3 linked regions of the Yarrowia lipolytica genome follow. The protein of the gene in region 1 interacts with the protein of each later gene in a pairwise test. Links are inferred from orthologs where the notes say so. Each region holds a gene or a part of one and is shown in the gene's direction. Other genes may lie near its edges.

Region 1 (4,959 bases):
CGGTGGCTCCCCAACCAGCTGTAGTCACGTTACAAAAGGTTGTTCAAGCTGCTATGCGACTCAGAGGAATCAGAACAGACGAGGAGGGAAGACAGGTATACAAGCATGTGCTTGCAGCAGCAGAATTCAGTCTGAGAAGGGAACTGGGAGAAGCTGGAGTGGAAAAGATGAGAGACAGAGTGGAGAATATTCTGTCGTTGCTGTATTAACATGATGGACTAAGCGGCGGTTACGAAACTCCTACTAGCTACATACTCACTCCCTGCTCCAATACGAGAACACGAGCCCTACGATGATACTCTGTGCTCATAAACAGAATCTGCATACGCATCCAATTAATTTATTTCAATTTTTATATCTACCACTAGACTATATGTGATCTCGCTTCAGTACAAGCAAAAGTACAGTACACTCTTACTAATCAGCACTATCTCGACCAAGTAAGATACAGCACTGTATGAGGACTGTAGTATAGTATAGTGCACTGATATATAGCAACCACGATCTACACTACTGCTGTGTACGCGTAATCTATTCAGTATCATCCAATATCTTAACAAGCGCTAGATCATGGATCGTTATTCATTCTATAATACATCCAGTACAAATTGAGTGCATGCACCAACAATTAGACAGGGTTCGATGGCTGGTTGGTGTTTCTGCTTACCATCTCGTAGCCCTCTTCGAAGAAAGTCTTGCGCAGCTCTCTCCACTGACTAGTCCAAGTACCAAGGATAGTCATCAGCACCGTCGAGGTAGCCTGGATCAACCACCACAAGCCATTGGTAGGCAGGGCACGGGTGTAGATAGTGGAAACAATTATGTTAATAACATGCAGGGTGACTGTGAAGTCCAAAGCAAGCTTGGATCGTCCCACAATGACTGTCATTGCCAACACTGTAAACACGGTATCGATCAACCACAGCATACTTATCGTCCATCCGATAGTATTATCAAACCGAACAGAATGCCAATCGAAAATGAGGCCCAAATTGAATGCATCTCCAGAAACCCAACACGAAAACCCAACCAGAATGAGGATAATCGTGTAGTATATCGTCTGTAGAAGGAGAATCTGTTTGAGAAGGGAGAGAGGCGTTAGTGCTTCTGCTCGGGGCATTTTTGTGAGTGACGGTTATGAGAAAAAGGGGGTAATGCGGGTGTGGGGGGATTGGGAAGCGGGAAGAGGGTCACTTCTGGTAGTGAGGGATCAGCTATGGTGCACTTAATGTCTTGAACTGTAGCTGGTGTGATTGTGAGATTTCAAATCGATCGGAAATGCTGCAAGAGAACAGAAATCAAGACCAATTGTTCTGTGACAGTATATCTGAGAAACCGATGCTGTTGTGGAGGTCTCAATAGGAGCTTTCTGTGTCGAAAAAGTCACTAAAGTGTTGGAATAACGGCCAGAGAGTCCAGTCACGTGAGTGAGAGACTCTGTGGTTATGTCACGTGATGATAATGCAGCTCACTTGATTGCAAGGGCTCCGGTGGCGTCGTAACCGATGCTCTACCAATGGTGTTCAATAAGGTGGGTGTGTATCTTGCTGACTTCGTGGAGAAGAGGTGAGTCACGTGAGGCTATAAATTGGTGAGTAAGCCCGTTGGTATTTTAGAAGAGTGGTGTGAAAGACGTTGTGGTGTAAGACAACGAAATATTGGTGATTAGTATCGTGTTCTCCTGATCAGGTTGACAGGTGCATGCTCCACGTTCACTAACGATGAACTCAGTTTAGGCTGGAGATTAGGGGGAGGATATAACACGTGACCGAAGGAGGTTAGAGAGTGAAGGAGCAGAGATTGAAAAAGAACGTTGACAAAACATCTTCTCTTAGCCATTCAAATTTGTGATAGGATGATGGGGTGATGATATAACTGTGTGATTTGATACTGAGGAAATGATAAGTAAACATTAAATATTTTCAACTGTTTTATTAAGTCTAATAAGTAACAGAAAAAAAGCTTCTGTATGTTGGTTCAGTCTCCACCTTCCTCCCTCTGCAACCTAATTTTCGGACCACGGTAGACATTTTCGACTGACGATATTTTCAGACTAACATAAGTTTTGATTTGGAAGAGTCGTAGCATCAATATAATTGGTTATATTACCAAGTATCACGTGACTAACACTCCTCAGCACACTCCAGCCCTCTCTCATCCTCTGATTAGTCAGCTACTAGTTCCAATCTTAACACGTATTTTTAAATTTCGAGGTACAGCGTGCATCAATCAAATAACATCAAACCAGGACAACATATCACAGTTTGATACTCGACACTAGAAGCAGCCAGGGCAAGACACGGCTACAGTCATGGGCAAGAAGAACAAGAACAAGAAGGCCGCGTCAGCGGCTCCTGATAACGCAGCTGCTGAGGACGTTGTTGTTGAGGATACCAACGTTCCGGAGACCCCTGTTACCCCGGAAACCGAGTCCAAGAAGGAGACTGTTGAGACCAACGGATCTTCTCTGGAGGAGCAAGTTGCGGCTCTGAAAGAGCAGCTTTCGACAACCACAAAACGGCTGGAGGTGGAGCGAGATGTGGCCGTGAAGCGCAAGGAGGCTGAAATTGATCAGTTGAAGAAAGAGATGGAAAGCGGAGATAGGGACGACAAGGTCAATGAGGAGCAGGTGGCTCAGTTGAAGCAGCAGATTGAGGAGTATAAAAAGTCCAGTTCCCAATCTGAGGGGGAGGTGAAGAAGCTGCAAGGACAATTGGAAGAGGCTAAGAAGGGAGGAGATAAGGAAGTGTCTGGGCTAAAAAAGGACCTAGCGGAGGCTAAAAAAGAGGTCGAAGAGGCTCATAAGAAGACAGAGTCGTTGAAATCACTTGAGAAGGAAGTATCTGAGCTTAAACAGAAGTTGCAAGAGGCCGAGTTGGCGAATTCTTCCTCTGACGAAGTCGAAAAGCTTCAGAAGAAGGTCTCTGAGCTTGAGCTGGCGAACTCTGACACCAGTACTACCAATTCTACAGAAATTACCTCCCTGAAGGAACAACTGGAGGCGAAAACGGAACAGTATGATAGCTTGCTGGACCGAATCACACAAATCAAATCCACCCTGGGCGAACGACTCAAGTCGGATGCCGCTGAGTTGGCAGACACACGTGAAAAGCTTGAAAAGGAGTCCGAGAAGGTTGCTCTTCTCAAGGACGAGCTCGTTGAGCAGTCTCAGGAGAGTAAGAAGCTTAACCAGGAGCTCAAACAGGCACGGGAGAAGTTCCAGAGTGAAATTGACGGACTGTCACGTGAACGAGATTTGTTGAAACGTGAGATTCTAGTCGTCCAGGAGACCGCGAACAAGTCTCAGGGTGCGTCTTCCAAGTATGAGATTGCTCTTTCTGAGCTCAAGACGGTGAACTCAGATCTGGAGACCCGAAACAGTGTTCTGCAAGACGAACTCACCGCCCTGAAGAAGTCGGTGCAAAGATATATCGCAGAAAGGAAGGACCTTGAAGACCAGGTCGAAGAACTCAAGAATGAGAAAACTTCCAGTTCGGGGGAGCTCGAGAAACAGATTCTGGAACACAAGACAGTGTCTGACAGTCTTAGGAAGGATCTGGATAGCGCCCTCAAGGAGACAGAAGAGCTCAAGAGTGAATGCAAGAAGCTGGAGGATAAGCTGGCGTCTGCTTCAGACTTTGAGAAGGAATCCAAGGACAAGTCTCTGTTGATCGGAAAGCTGAGACACGAGGCTGTGATTCTCAATGAGCATCTCACTAACGCTCTGCAGATGATCAAGAAGAGCTCAGAGGGTGATACAGTCGATAAGCAGCTGGTATCCAACCTCATTCTGTCCTTTGTCTCTTTATCGAGAGGAGATACTAAGAAGTTCGAGGTGCTGCAGTTGATCTCCAATTTCCTGGAGTGGGACGAGCAAGAAAAGGTCCAGGCTGGTCTTTCCAGATCGTCTTTCGTAACAGATGGAAAGCTAGAGAAAAGCAGTAGTTCCACTCAGTTGAGTGGACAAGGGGGGGATAGACAACCGGCAGTTGGCTTCTTTGGCAAGTTTGCTGAGTTCTTGGATCGGGAAGCAGGTAAGAAGTGACCACCGGGGACGATGTGATGATGATATCTTACAAAAGGAGGGGTCAGTGGCTATAAGTGCCCATTGGCAAGTACATAAAAATCAAATGTATGATTGTTTTTATAGGCGGTTATGTCTAGTAGACACGTTTGGGTGATGTAAGATCCATTCATATACTATTTACATTTGGAGCAGTGAATCCGCAGCTTGACTGTCTGTTACTTTCCAATACAAAACTTGCTGAAAACAGCCCCGAGAACCTCTTCAATGCCAATACCCTGGCCAGTAATCATACCGATTCCTTCTGCTGCCATTCTCAGCTCTTCTGTGGCAAAGACAACGGCTTCTAGATCATACTCCATGAATGTCTCCAACGCGGGGATTACTGTGGCGATCAGATTGTCCTTGACTCGCTGACTGGCAAGCACGGGATCCGAGCCTTCAATTGTAGTAATTTTGGAGAATTCAGAGGACAGCTTAGCGAGGAGAGTCTCGAGACCAGAGCTGGCAATACAACTGACCGGAATGATGGAATCGCGAGGCAGACCGATCTCTTCCATGAGTCTGTTTTTAAAAGCTTCAACCACATGATCCTCAACCAGGTCAGTCTTGTTGATAGCCACGACTATTTGCTTCTCTGCAGCATGCAATTGTTTGAGCTCAGCAATGATGTCGCTGCTGTGGTCACAACCATCAGCGGGGAGAACAGCCATAATCATGTGACTTTTCTGGAACCGTTCTCTTGCTCTTTTGATTCCCTCCTTTTCCACCATGCCTACTTGTTCTCCTCCTCTTAGTCCTGCAGTGTCTCCAAGAACTACCTTGTATCCAGCCACATCCAGACCAATCTCCACAACATCACGAGTAGTTCCTGCTTCTTCTGAAACTATAGCAGCGTTCCGTTTAGCCAAAATGTTGAGTAGAGACGACTTTCC
Region 2 (6,672 bases), on another chromosome or scaffold:
TCTATTTTAGCCGAGATGCACTGATGCGGTACATATTGGATATAAATACAGTAGTGCTAACTCCTTTATATATATGTGGTTTGACTCTTGTTGGACACAAATAAACACCTTGCTTGCAGCTGTTCAAGCCCGAGTTTCTCCACGCAGTTTCTATCCACAGCAGGTGATCTTCGAGACGTCATGTTGATGGGCTGTCACTGGTACAACGGTTACAGTGCTTGGCATATAATCGCGCACTAAGCTCATGAGACCCGTCCGAAACGTTTAATACGGAAACTAGGAAATTTACGTGAGGGCGACAGGTGTGTAAATTTTCTGAAGACGCCGATGCCGGACGGTTCCGTCGACCTCGTGTTATTTCAGTCTGCCGTTTTATGGCCTCTTTCTCGCGCACCCTCCCTTTGCCTTGCATTGCCTACAGTACGAAGCACAAACACCAACCCTTAACTACAAGTACATGCTTGTTTGGGCTGTCCTTATCACGCCCGCATAAGCAATTATGAGCCGCATAGCAATCGAAACACTGTGGAGGTGCGACCTCCACGCACTCAAATAACACTCAAAACTAATCACCGACTCTTGTTACAATCTTTTCTTCTAAAATGACTCACCACAAAAACAACAACAAGGACAACCACGACGACGAGCTCTACATTGAGGTCTACCAGAAGTACCTGGAGAAGGCCCAGCGCCTAATTGACGAGCACAAGGTGCTGGTAGTGGCGCTGTCTTGGTCGGATGCGTGTGAGGAAATTAAGACTTGCCTCCAGACCATCAAGGGCGAGTTGGAGCCCTTCTACCTGGAGTTGGACAAGGAGGAAGCCATGGACCGTGTGGAGCTGCAGAAGGCTTTTGTCGAGATCACCTCCAGTAACGCCATCCCATCAGTCTTCGTCAAGGGCAAGCACATTGGATCTGGAGAGGAGGTCATGGAACTTTTCCACGACAAGAAGCTCTCTGAGGTTCTGGCTAAGGCTGGCGTTGAGCTTCCCAAATAAATGAAATGAATTTGAAAATGCGATTGATCAATTATAATAATAGAAGGGGACACTTAGAGCTGGCCCTCGAGTCCCTTACTCTGGACGTCCTTTCGCTCCTCCCAAACTGTCTTTCCGCTGCAGGAACACACAGTCTTATCATTCTCCCACACGCCAGCGCTTCGTGCAATCACACCCACCAGAGCGTGAGGCTTGACAACGTCTGGGCTTGTAGAAACAGCCATGCCCCGGCCAATAAGACTGGAGATCTGGGTCTCGGACTTGACAAATGCTTGGCCGGAAAAGAGTCCAGATGCACTGTCAGACTCGTTCACCTCCACGCTGCCCAGCGCCTGGTATACGCCTCCTAGACTCTGAGGCGCATCAGAGATGTCTCCACTGGTACGGATGCTGGGGTAGTATGTGCCCTTGGGAAGACCGTTGAGGGTGATATCGATGAGCGCAAGGGTCTTGGAGACACTGACGATTCGGGCAAGGCCCTTTATAGGTTGGGCCTGGTCTTCGGGGGCGTGGCTTTCGAGAATGCAGACGGCTGCCGAGTTGGGCTGTCCAGTGCCTCGAACAATGGCGTCCTTGCCGATGTTTTGGACGGCCTTTACAATCTGGGACGGAGCAGAAGTTCCAGTGACACTGATAAGCTGATCCACGAGCTTGCAGTCAACGGACTCGATGCCCTGGACGTTTGCAAGTGCCTGCTTGACGGAATCACAGCAGGACTCACATTCCAAAGGGACAGCAAATGTAGTCTGGCGTTAGTAGTGAAATTTATAGCACTGGAAAAAGAGTCGGATGAGGTTCCCAGTTCCGGTTTCTGTTCGCTTTTTACTCACAGTAAATGACATCAGGGCGGTATGAAAAGTGGCGAGAATGTCATACAAACGCGGAGTTGATCTATATGAACAAACCTAATTTCACGCATCGTTTGTCAGCACATTGTGCCACTCATAATCTAAAAAGCTGATTAATTTACAGGGGGGGACGGAAGGTGGTGAGACATGTCATAACTAGGAGTGAAAAGGTAAGGAAAAATCAAACAGATATTCAATTGAGACTGACAAAAAATACAATGCAAACGGACCATATTTTCGTCATTTCCGCTCTGCTTTTGAGATGCTCTCATGGCTCGGCTCGCCTTCATCTCCCAAGCACTCTCTGTAGCTTGTGCATCGACTTTTATGCACTCGTTACATCTTCGACTCGTAGAACCTAATACCTCCACGTCATGTTCTCGAGAATCCAGCAGAGCGTTAAACAGTTCACGGATGAACTAGATGGCGCCGTGAAAAACGCCCAGAACCAACAGGTGGCGGCGCAGCAACACGAGGCAGAAGAGCGCAAGAAAAAGCTCATGAGCTACAAGACTCCAGACGTGGAACGCATGGAGCTAGATGACAATGGGTCGTCAGCTCCCTCCACCGAAGGTGGAGCTACCGAGGCCGAGCCAGTATCGCAAACGGAGCCAGAAGAGTACATCATTGACACTCTTCCGGTGCCTGACAAGGTCAAATCTCACCTGCGAAAGTTCCAGCGGTATGAGGCCAAGTACCCCGATCTTCTCAAAGCCTACAGAGTGGAGAAGAAGAAGTCCGAACTGGTAAAGAGCATGGTGGAGGATTTCGAGCGTGTTCTCCAGGAGCGAACTCCATGCTCCGGTCTCAATGAACCTCAGGCTCTCGTTGAGTATCTTGAGAACCTCAATCTTAAGAGCGAAATGCAGAGTAACGAGCTTCGTTCATTGTCTACGAAGGTCGACACACTCAAGAAGGAGGTCGACGGCACCAAGAGAAAGGATCAGGACACCATTGAGAAGCTCGAAAGCGACGTGGCTCGACTCACATCTGATCTGAAGGATCTGGAAGCTGAGAACACCAAGCTAAAGGAGGCTGAGCCGGCAGAATCAAAGGCCACCGACACAACCAGCGAAACCCGTGCTGAGCTGGAGCTTAAGGATGCAAAATTGGCCGAACTGCAGACCAAGTTAGATGGCCTCAAGACCAGGGTGGGTGAGCTGGACAATGTCAAGGCTCAGGAGGAGAAGGTAAAGGAGCTTGAAAAGCAGCTGGACGAGGCTAAGGGTGAGGCCAAGAAGGCCGAAGATAAGATCAAATCCGCCGAGGAGATGGTCAAAGCGGCTGAGGACAAGGCTAAGGAGGCATCAGACAAAGCTGACCGCTCTACAGCCAGCAAGGACTCCGAACTTGAGAGTCTCACAAAAACATTGAACAAGATCAAGGACGAAAGCAAGGCTGCATCGGAAAAGCATCTTGGCGAAATCAATAACTTGAAGGAACAGCTGGAGAAGTCCAAGACTGTGTCAGAGGAGCTAGAGACTGCACGAAAGGAGCTTGCTGACGCCAAGTCTGCCGCCTCTAAGGCTGATGCTGAGCTCCAGGAGAAGCTGGCTGAGATTGAGAAGACTCCTGACAACTCTGCTGAGCTGGAAAAGCTTAAGACCGAACTTGCCGAGGCCAAATCCAATGCTGATAAGACTTCCAATGATCTGGCAGGCAAATCGAAGCTGCTGGAGGGTTTCCAGAAGAAGCTTGGTGAAGCTAACAAGGCCAAGGAGGATCTGGAGAGCGAGCTTGCGACGGTCAAGGCCGCAGCTGCGTCTGCTGTTGCTGCTGCCAATACCTCTCCCGGTGCCACTGGTGGTAAGGGAAAGAAGGGCAAGAAGGGAGGATCCCCTGCACCCGATAACAATGCTCAGATCAAGGTGCTGGAGGATGCCAAGCAAAAGCTTGAGAAGGACCTTGCTAATGAAAAGTCCGAGGTGGAGAGTCTACGGGACCAGCTCAAGGAGATTGGAAACGATCTTGTCGAGGCTCAGAAGTCTAATAAAAACAGCGAAGTCAAGGATGAACTCGAGAAGGTGCAGAAGAAGCTCACCGAGAAGGAGGAAGAGATTGAGGAGCGTCAGAAGGATGTAGCTGAGCTCAAGAAGGAGATCGAGGATCGAAACAAAACCCATTCTAAGCTTCAAAAGGAGGTTGATGAGCTCAAGACCCAGTCTTCAAAGTCTTCTGAGGATGCAAAGTCTTTGGAATCAGCCAAGGCTGATCTTGACAAGACAAACAAAGAGCTGACTGCTGCACTGACGAAGGGCAAGACCTTTGAGGATGAGGTTGCCACTCTCAAGAAGGAGATTGAGTCTCTCAAGAAGGATCTCGCTAGTGCCAAGGAGTCCCAGGATTCGTCCCAAGCTATGACCGAGGAACTTGAATCTTTGAAGAAAGAGCTGAAAACTACGAAGAGCAGACTTGCTGAGGCTGAGAAGACCACTGAGGAGCTCAAGACTGTCAAGGAGGAGGTTGAGGAGCTGAAGAAGAAGCTCGAGACCACTGAGCAGCATCTTTCTGCCGCCGAGGACTCTCACGCCCACTCTGCCAAGCTCAGTCAGGACCGATTCAAGGAGCTCGGCACCACCAAGGAGCAGCTTTCAAAGCTGGAGGAGCAGCTAGGATCTGTCAAGGCAGAGCTGAAGATTGCCAAGGACGCCGAGACCACTTTGGCTAAGCAGACTGCTGAGCTTGAGAAGTTGGTTGCTGCCGAAACCAAGCTCAAGAAAGATCTTGCTGCTGTTACTGCATCTTCATCCGACTGGGAGGCGAAGTACAAGGAGGCAGATCTGCGGTGCAACAAGATCGAGAGCCGCATTACTACTCTCAAGACCACCCAGGCTCGACTGGAGAAGGAGAAGAAGGATGCTGTCGCCGAGAAGGATGCTCTTGCTACACGTGTCGAGCAACTCGAGAAGGAGCATTCTGCATCTTCCGAGTCCATTTCCAAGTGGACCCGAGAAAAGGCTGCTCTTGAGAAGGAGCTGACTGAGGCCAACAACGAGGCCAAGATTAAGGAGGCTCAGAAGGACCATGCCCTTGGTGAGGTCACCGAGCTCAAGAGCCAGTTGGAGGAAGTTGCTATGCGAATGAGAGAGGTAACTTCTCGTTGCGAGTCTCTGGAGGATGAAGTCTCCGATGCACACAAGCTGCTGCAGGAGCGAACTCGAGAGACCACAACCATGCGACGTCTTCTCAACGAGACCGAGGACGGTAGTGAGACCAAGATTCGAGATCTCCAGGAGCAGATTCGAGCTCTCACTGACGAGAAGGATCAACTGGAAGCCAGTGCTGCTCAATCGTCTAGACGTCGACAGCGTGAGCTTGAGGAGGCCCGAACGAAGACTCGAGAGCTTCAACATGACGCCGAGGAGCTGCGAGCTGACAAAGAGCGAGCTCTCAGAGACCTCCAGGCACTCAAGTCGTCTCGAGAGTATGCTGATAAGGAGTCCAAGAGTGCCCAGGAGGATATGGAAGAAGCCAATGGGGTCATCCAGAAGCTTCAGACCGAGCGTAAGGTCATGGATGGACGTCTCAGCGAATCCGAGGCCACAGTGCTGCGTCTGAAGCAGGCCGTCGACGATGCTCAACAGCGAAACGACAAGCTGCAGAAGCAGCAGAAAATTCTCAACGAGGACATCATCGCTCTTCAGACAGAGAAGCACAGACTGGAGGGCAACCAGATCAGTAGCTCCCAGCGTCATGTGACGTCACCTGCCCAGTCACGACGATCTTCTGTGGCATCTAACACTTCACAACCTCCCGCTCCTGCTACTGCTACTAACACTGCGTACATCAAGAACGTGCTGCTCGGATTTCTGGAGCACAAGGAGCAGAGACAGAACTTACTGCCAGTAATGTCTACTTTGCTGGAGTTCAAGGATGGAGAGGAAGAAAGATTCTGGGCTGCGATTGGTTAGATGGGGACAATGCAATATATTACCGCAACTATAGAAATTAATAGACAACGTGTCTTAATTATCCTGTGATAGCGACATCCGCCAACATCTACCGGTATATCTTCACTACAAGAACTTGTAGTCTCTGTAATTGTAATGATTGCTATATTCGCTTTACATACTTACGCACTATTTTTATACAGCAATGGGGTCAACAATGTCAACTCCTTTGGTACGAAGCTGCTCGGTGGCCACGGCGGGGCTCGTTACCCAACCGTGCTGGATCCTGGTACCATTGTGTCTGACCCACGCACTCGGCAACGGTAAGCTGGTTCGGCCCAAGAGCTTTGGCAACATCAAGTCCAACGTTGACAGTCTTGATGGTAGTATCGTGCTCGAGGATCAAACCCCAGCCTCCACCCTGCAGTTTCCAGTCTTGGACCTCTTCCACGACCTCAGGGGAGGTCTTAATACCGGCGTTAACCTTCCAATCAAATGTGTCTCGGTCCCACAACACAGACTGCATGCCCAGCATCCGTACAATAGCACGTACACGGTTGTCGATAGCGCCATAGGGGGGACGGAAGTAGCGTGGGATGATACCGGCAGTGGCGTTCATAGCCCAGTTAGTCCATTGTAGTTGTGCGACTATCTCTTCATTGCTAAGCGAGGCGAGGTTTGGGTGAGACCAGGTGTGACTGGCCAACAGATGGCCCTGGCGGTATTGCTCCCTGAAGATCTCTGGGAAGCGGACGACATTGACGCCCTGGACAAAGAAGGTTGTTTTTGAGGGAAGCATTTCCAGAAGTTTTGGTGTGCTAGGGCTGGGCCCGTCGTCAAATGTTTGGGATATCTTGTTGCAAGTGCGGATGTCGTCGAAAGCAATACACAAATGGCAGTCGAAGGAGCAGGCGGTGCGCTCGACTCCGTCACAGA
Region 3 (3,771 bases), on another chromosome or scaffold:
TGGAGACGACTTGGACCCAGGGACGCAATGATATATCACGCGATGCATATAAAAGGAAGCTAGTGGGATGTGACAGATCACCTGATCTGACGTTTTCTTGTGACTCCCTGTCCTCCAATGCACATGAGAGCTCCAGGTGCTAAAAATCGTTCCTAGTCTAGTTAGCCGCCGTATGTCTACTCACAGCAGACTAAGTAAGCTACATCGTTGTAGTTACTTTGTATATGCAGAAAAAAATAGGCCGAACTGAGTTGACCAACTAAAGTAGCGTGGAGTTTACCAATTGTGGGGATAAAGAGAAACAGACAACGGGAGCCGCTAGAGCCCTTTTGTGACGATGAAGAGCCCAAAGGAGAATCAGGGTCGCTTGTTATTGACTCACGTGATGCTCTTCTGAAACCGGAACTCTCAAAAAGAATGAGCAGAACAGGGGGCAGGTGCAAGACAGACAAACCGGCATGAGTTTCCAAGATACGACCTCAGGGGTCAACAAGGCTGTGCCCTGTGGGTCCAATTTCCTACGGCCTGAAATAGTGACTCCATTGTGTTAGTGTCATAAGACAATCAGTCTACCCGGCAGCACAGTTATGTACAATATAAGGGTCTGGAGAGCCACATGGGGAAGCACTAGGCTTGAGTAGCTGAGCTAACCATCTGGGGTTGCGAGACTAAGTAAATGAACGTCCAATGATCCGATAATGCAGGCTTGTACTGGAGATGTGGGTGTTTTTACCGAGCTGGGTCGTAGTGGTTGAATATGAGCCGAGGTGTTTCAAGCAAGGCCAAGGGTACAAGCGGGTCATATTGGTCAGGGACGGAGAAAGTCGACCTAGAATCTGTCTAGAACTTGTTAGTACAGTACCTCTATACTTCTTTTCATCTTCTCCACTTTTGACAGCATGTATATGTTTTTGAGGGCTCCTTTGAAGGGCTCCACCATCCCTGGCGTCGTGTACAAGTAAAAGTACAAGTATCTAATCTAAAGGAGAACCTTTTAAGACCATTTTGGTTTCCCTCATCTCATTTATGTCGAAATGGATCACTTTTCAACTCTCTCACAAATTATCTCGAAATCAGTCTATACACAGTCCATTGAGCGCTCATACTTGTACTTGTAACAGGACTGTCTGGAGACACGAAACCACCGAAACCACAAAAGTCGCCAGGAATGGGTTCCAATATTGATTACTAAGCCAACATATCGTCCTCCGAAACCCCACTTGCTTCTTGGCGACTCTTAGATCAGTATTGCTCAGCCCTTAGTTTCATCCTCCTGACTGTAGAAGATAGCACTCCCAAAACGCCTCCCAAAAATACTTCTGCAAACTCTAAAAGTCAGCTGGTGGGTAGTTATCTCGAGCTGCAGACATGCCCCAAGGAAGCAGAGACCACCAGACGATTCAGAAAATGCACTATATTTTAATGGTACACTAACTATTATACTCTCTCACCCAAAAACAAGTCGAAATCTCCACCTCCTCCTCCTGTCACTCATTTCAAATTGCCACCAATTTAGATTCCCCTAACCCTACGAACATAAGCCAGATGGACTCCTTGGCTTGTTGATCCCCAGTCATAATCTGTGATTGGAGAAAGATTTTGCTTAGGTAACTGCGTCATGTGATTAATCACGTGATTTAGAGTCGTTAGTGGGAAAAATCGACGTCTCAAGCTCCATTTTCGCATCTGAAAAGTGCACGTCCAGTGCGCTCATATGCTGCGCTACCCCTACCCTAATTAACTCAGTCCCACCTTATCTCCAAACCACTCACCACTACACTCGGCATACACGACACTAACAACCAACACTACCATGAGCTGGAATGGATTCAAAAAGGCGATGAACCGGGCGGGCACGTCGGTGATGATGAAGACGGGCCACGTGGAGAAGACGGTGGACCGGGAGTTCGAGACCGAGGAGCGTCGATATCGAACCATGGAGACGGCGTCCACCAAGCTGAACAAGGAGGCCAAGGGCTTTCTGGACTCGCTGCGAGCCATGACGTCGTCGCAGACGCGAATCGCAGAGACCATTGATGCGTTTTACGGCGACGCTGGCACCCGGGACGGCATTTCCAAGTACTACTTGCAGGCTGTCCAGGAACTGGATGCCGAGACCGTCAAGGCTCTGGATGGCCCCTACCGAGAGACGGTGCTGGATCCCATCACGCGATTTTGTGCTTACTTCACTGACATTAACGAGGCCATCAAAAAGCGAAACCACAAGCTGATGGACTACGATGCTCTGAGACACAAGACCAAGAAGTTGATTGAAAAGCCCAGCAACGATGCCGCGCGTCTTCCTCAGGCAGAGAAGGAAGAGCAGATGGCCAAGGAAATGTACTCTCAGATCAACAACCAGCTGATTGAGGAGCTGCCCCAGCTGATCGACCTGCGGGTTCCTTACCTGGATCCCTCGTTCGAGGCTCTCGTCAAGATCCAGCTGCGATTCTGTACAGAGTCGTATACCCGTCTGGCGCAGGTGCAGCAGTATCTGGACGCCAGCAGTCGAGAGGAATACGCTAACGGCCAGTTGGACGCCAAGGTGGAGGATCTACTGCAGAACATGAGAGAGTTGAGCATTACTAGTTTGGGAACTAAATAGGCTCATCGAATTCATACAATGAATGAGCGGGCCTATTGAGCAAACTCATCTGCTTGTAGTGAGTGTGCCATGGTCTGGTAGGCTGTTGGCCGGCAAGACGGTTTTCGCTAACCCATGCGTTTGGAAGCGCAGAGTGGACGAGTATGTATAATGAATATATGATAAGCATGAAGTCGAAGGGATAGCGTGTTTGACCGAGAGAGTGGTATAGACGAGGACTACTGGTTGTTCCTTTGCTCGTCTTGCTGTGGTTGTTATTAGCAGTGTTGAAAGGTTGATCAGCTGCTACTAACAAGCCATTTGCAACTTTCATGTTGTTCACAAGGAGACCAAGAAAGACTCACAGTCGAACGTTGGTGTTGTTCGAATCGATGTCTCTCTTTGTTGTGCTTTTAACAGTCTTTGGACAATGTTTAGCGTATCTATCTTTGGAGCCAGGATTGAAGATAAGAGCGGCACACAATAGAACTAACTAGAAGACTATAACCAGAAGATACGGTCCACGAGTGGTCTCTTGGTCATTCAAGTCTTGTAAAAATTCCTCATTCGAACTTTTAGCTGTAATCTAAGCTCTTTCTGGCCCCACTTACCACTATCAAGCCCATGATAAGCTAGAGAATTTACTACAAGTACAGAACTGGTACAGCGTAATGTAGTAAACTGTTAATCTAGTAAATCTTCGGTTAACCAAATATCGAGGACAATATTAGCCCAGAGTGTGTGAAACAGCTAGCCTGGTTCTTGTATAGGAACGAATAACTAGGCCAAGGACGTATAGCAATTTTAGCGTGGACCAAATTACCACATGGTGCGGTTCTGAGACTGCAGTATGTCACAAAGACTTGTCAATTGAAGAACTGGACTCTTCTTTAGTTTCTAGCTACCTTCTAGAAGTATAGATTGTTCCATGGAGGGTCTCTAGTCTCTTCGTCTTAGTAGTTATTGAGCTGTATGTACAGCAACAAGACCAGTGTTCTGAGAGGTCTTGGTAGAGGAAGAGTTGACATTACCATTTAGTCATGTGTTAGGGACATTTGTGCACAGTCCTACTGACAGCTATACTCCTCAAAATCTCTCCCCACACCATGCTCTCTTTTCAATACTTCCTGTTTAACTTTCGTATAGCGCCGGGAGCCAAGATCTACTGTGCTGATAGAGCAGGCTAC

The links.
Region 2: the proteins of YALI1_B24252g (region 1) and YALI1_F38522g interact in a two-hybrid assay, tested with the Saccharomyces cerevisiae proteins (2 studies listed by BioGRID, with this or other methods). The link is inferred for Yarrowia lipolytica from reciprocal best matches to the Saccharomyces cerevisiae genes RUD3 and IMH1.
Region 3: the proteins of YALI1_B24252g (region 1) and YALI1_C10860g interact in a two-hybrid assay, tested with the Saccharomyces cerevisiae proteins (2 studies listed by BioGRID). The link is inferred for Yarrowia lipolytica from reciprocal best matches to the Saccharomyces cerevisiae genes RUD3 and RVS161.

What each region holds. Positions count from the first base shown.
Region 1 is NC_090771.1:2,422,593-2,427,551, reverse strand, and holds YALI1_B24252g (uncharacterized protein), read left to right. Parts: upstream 1-2,311; coding exon 2,312-4,045; downstream 4,046-4,959. Other genes in the region: YALI1_B24280g (uncharacterized protein), read left to right, coding at 1-209; YALI1_B24264g (uncharacterized protein), read right to left, coding at 629-1,120; YALI1_B24218g (uncharacterized protein), read right to left, coding at 4,243-4,959. UniProt on the Saccharomyces cerevisiae protein: Involved in the structural organization of the cis-Golgi and in vesicle targeting/fusion stages of ER to Golgi transport.
Region 2 is NC_090775.1:3,847,774-3,854,445, reverse strand, and holds YALI1_F38522g (uncharacterized protein), read left to right. Parts: upstream 1-2,220; coding exon 2,221-5,757; downstream 5,758-6,672. Other genes in the region: YALI1_F38538g (uncharacterized protein), read left to right, coding at 603-998; YALI1_F38526g (uncharacterized protein), read right to left, coding at 1,052-1,744, 1,829-1,840; YALI1_F38476g (uncharacterized protein), read right to left, coding at 5,957-6,672. UniProt on the Saccharomyces cerevisiae protein: Involved in vesicular transport between an endosomal compartment and the Golgi apparatus.
Region 3 is NC_090772.1:1,084,068-1,087,838, reverse strand, and holds YALI1_C10860g (uncharacterized protein), read left to right. Parts: upstream 1-1,813; coding exon 1,814-2,605; downstream 2,606-3,771. UniProt on the Saccharomyces cerevisiae protein: Component of a cytoskeletal structure that is required for the formation of endocytic vesicles at the plasma membrane level.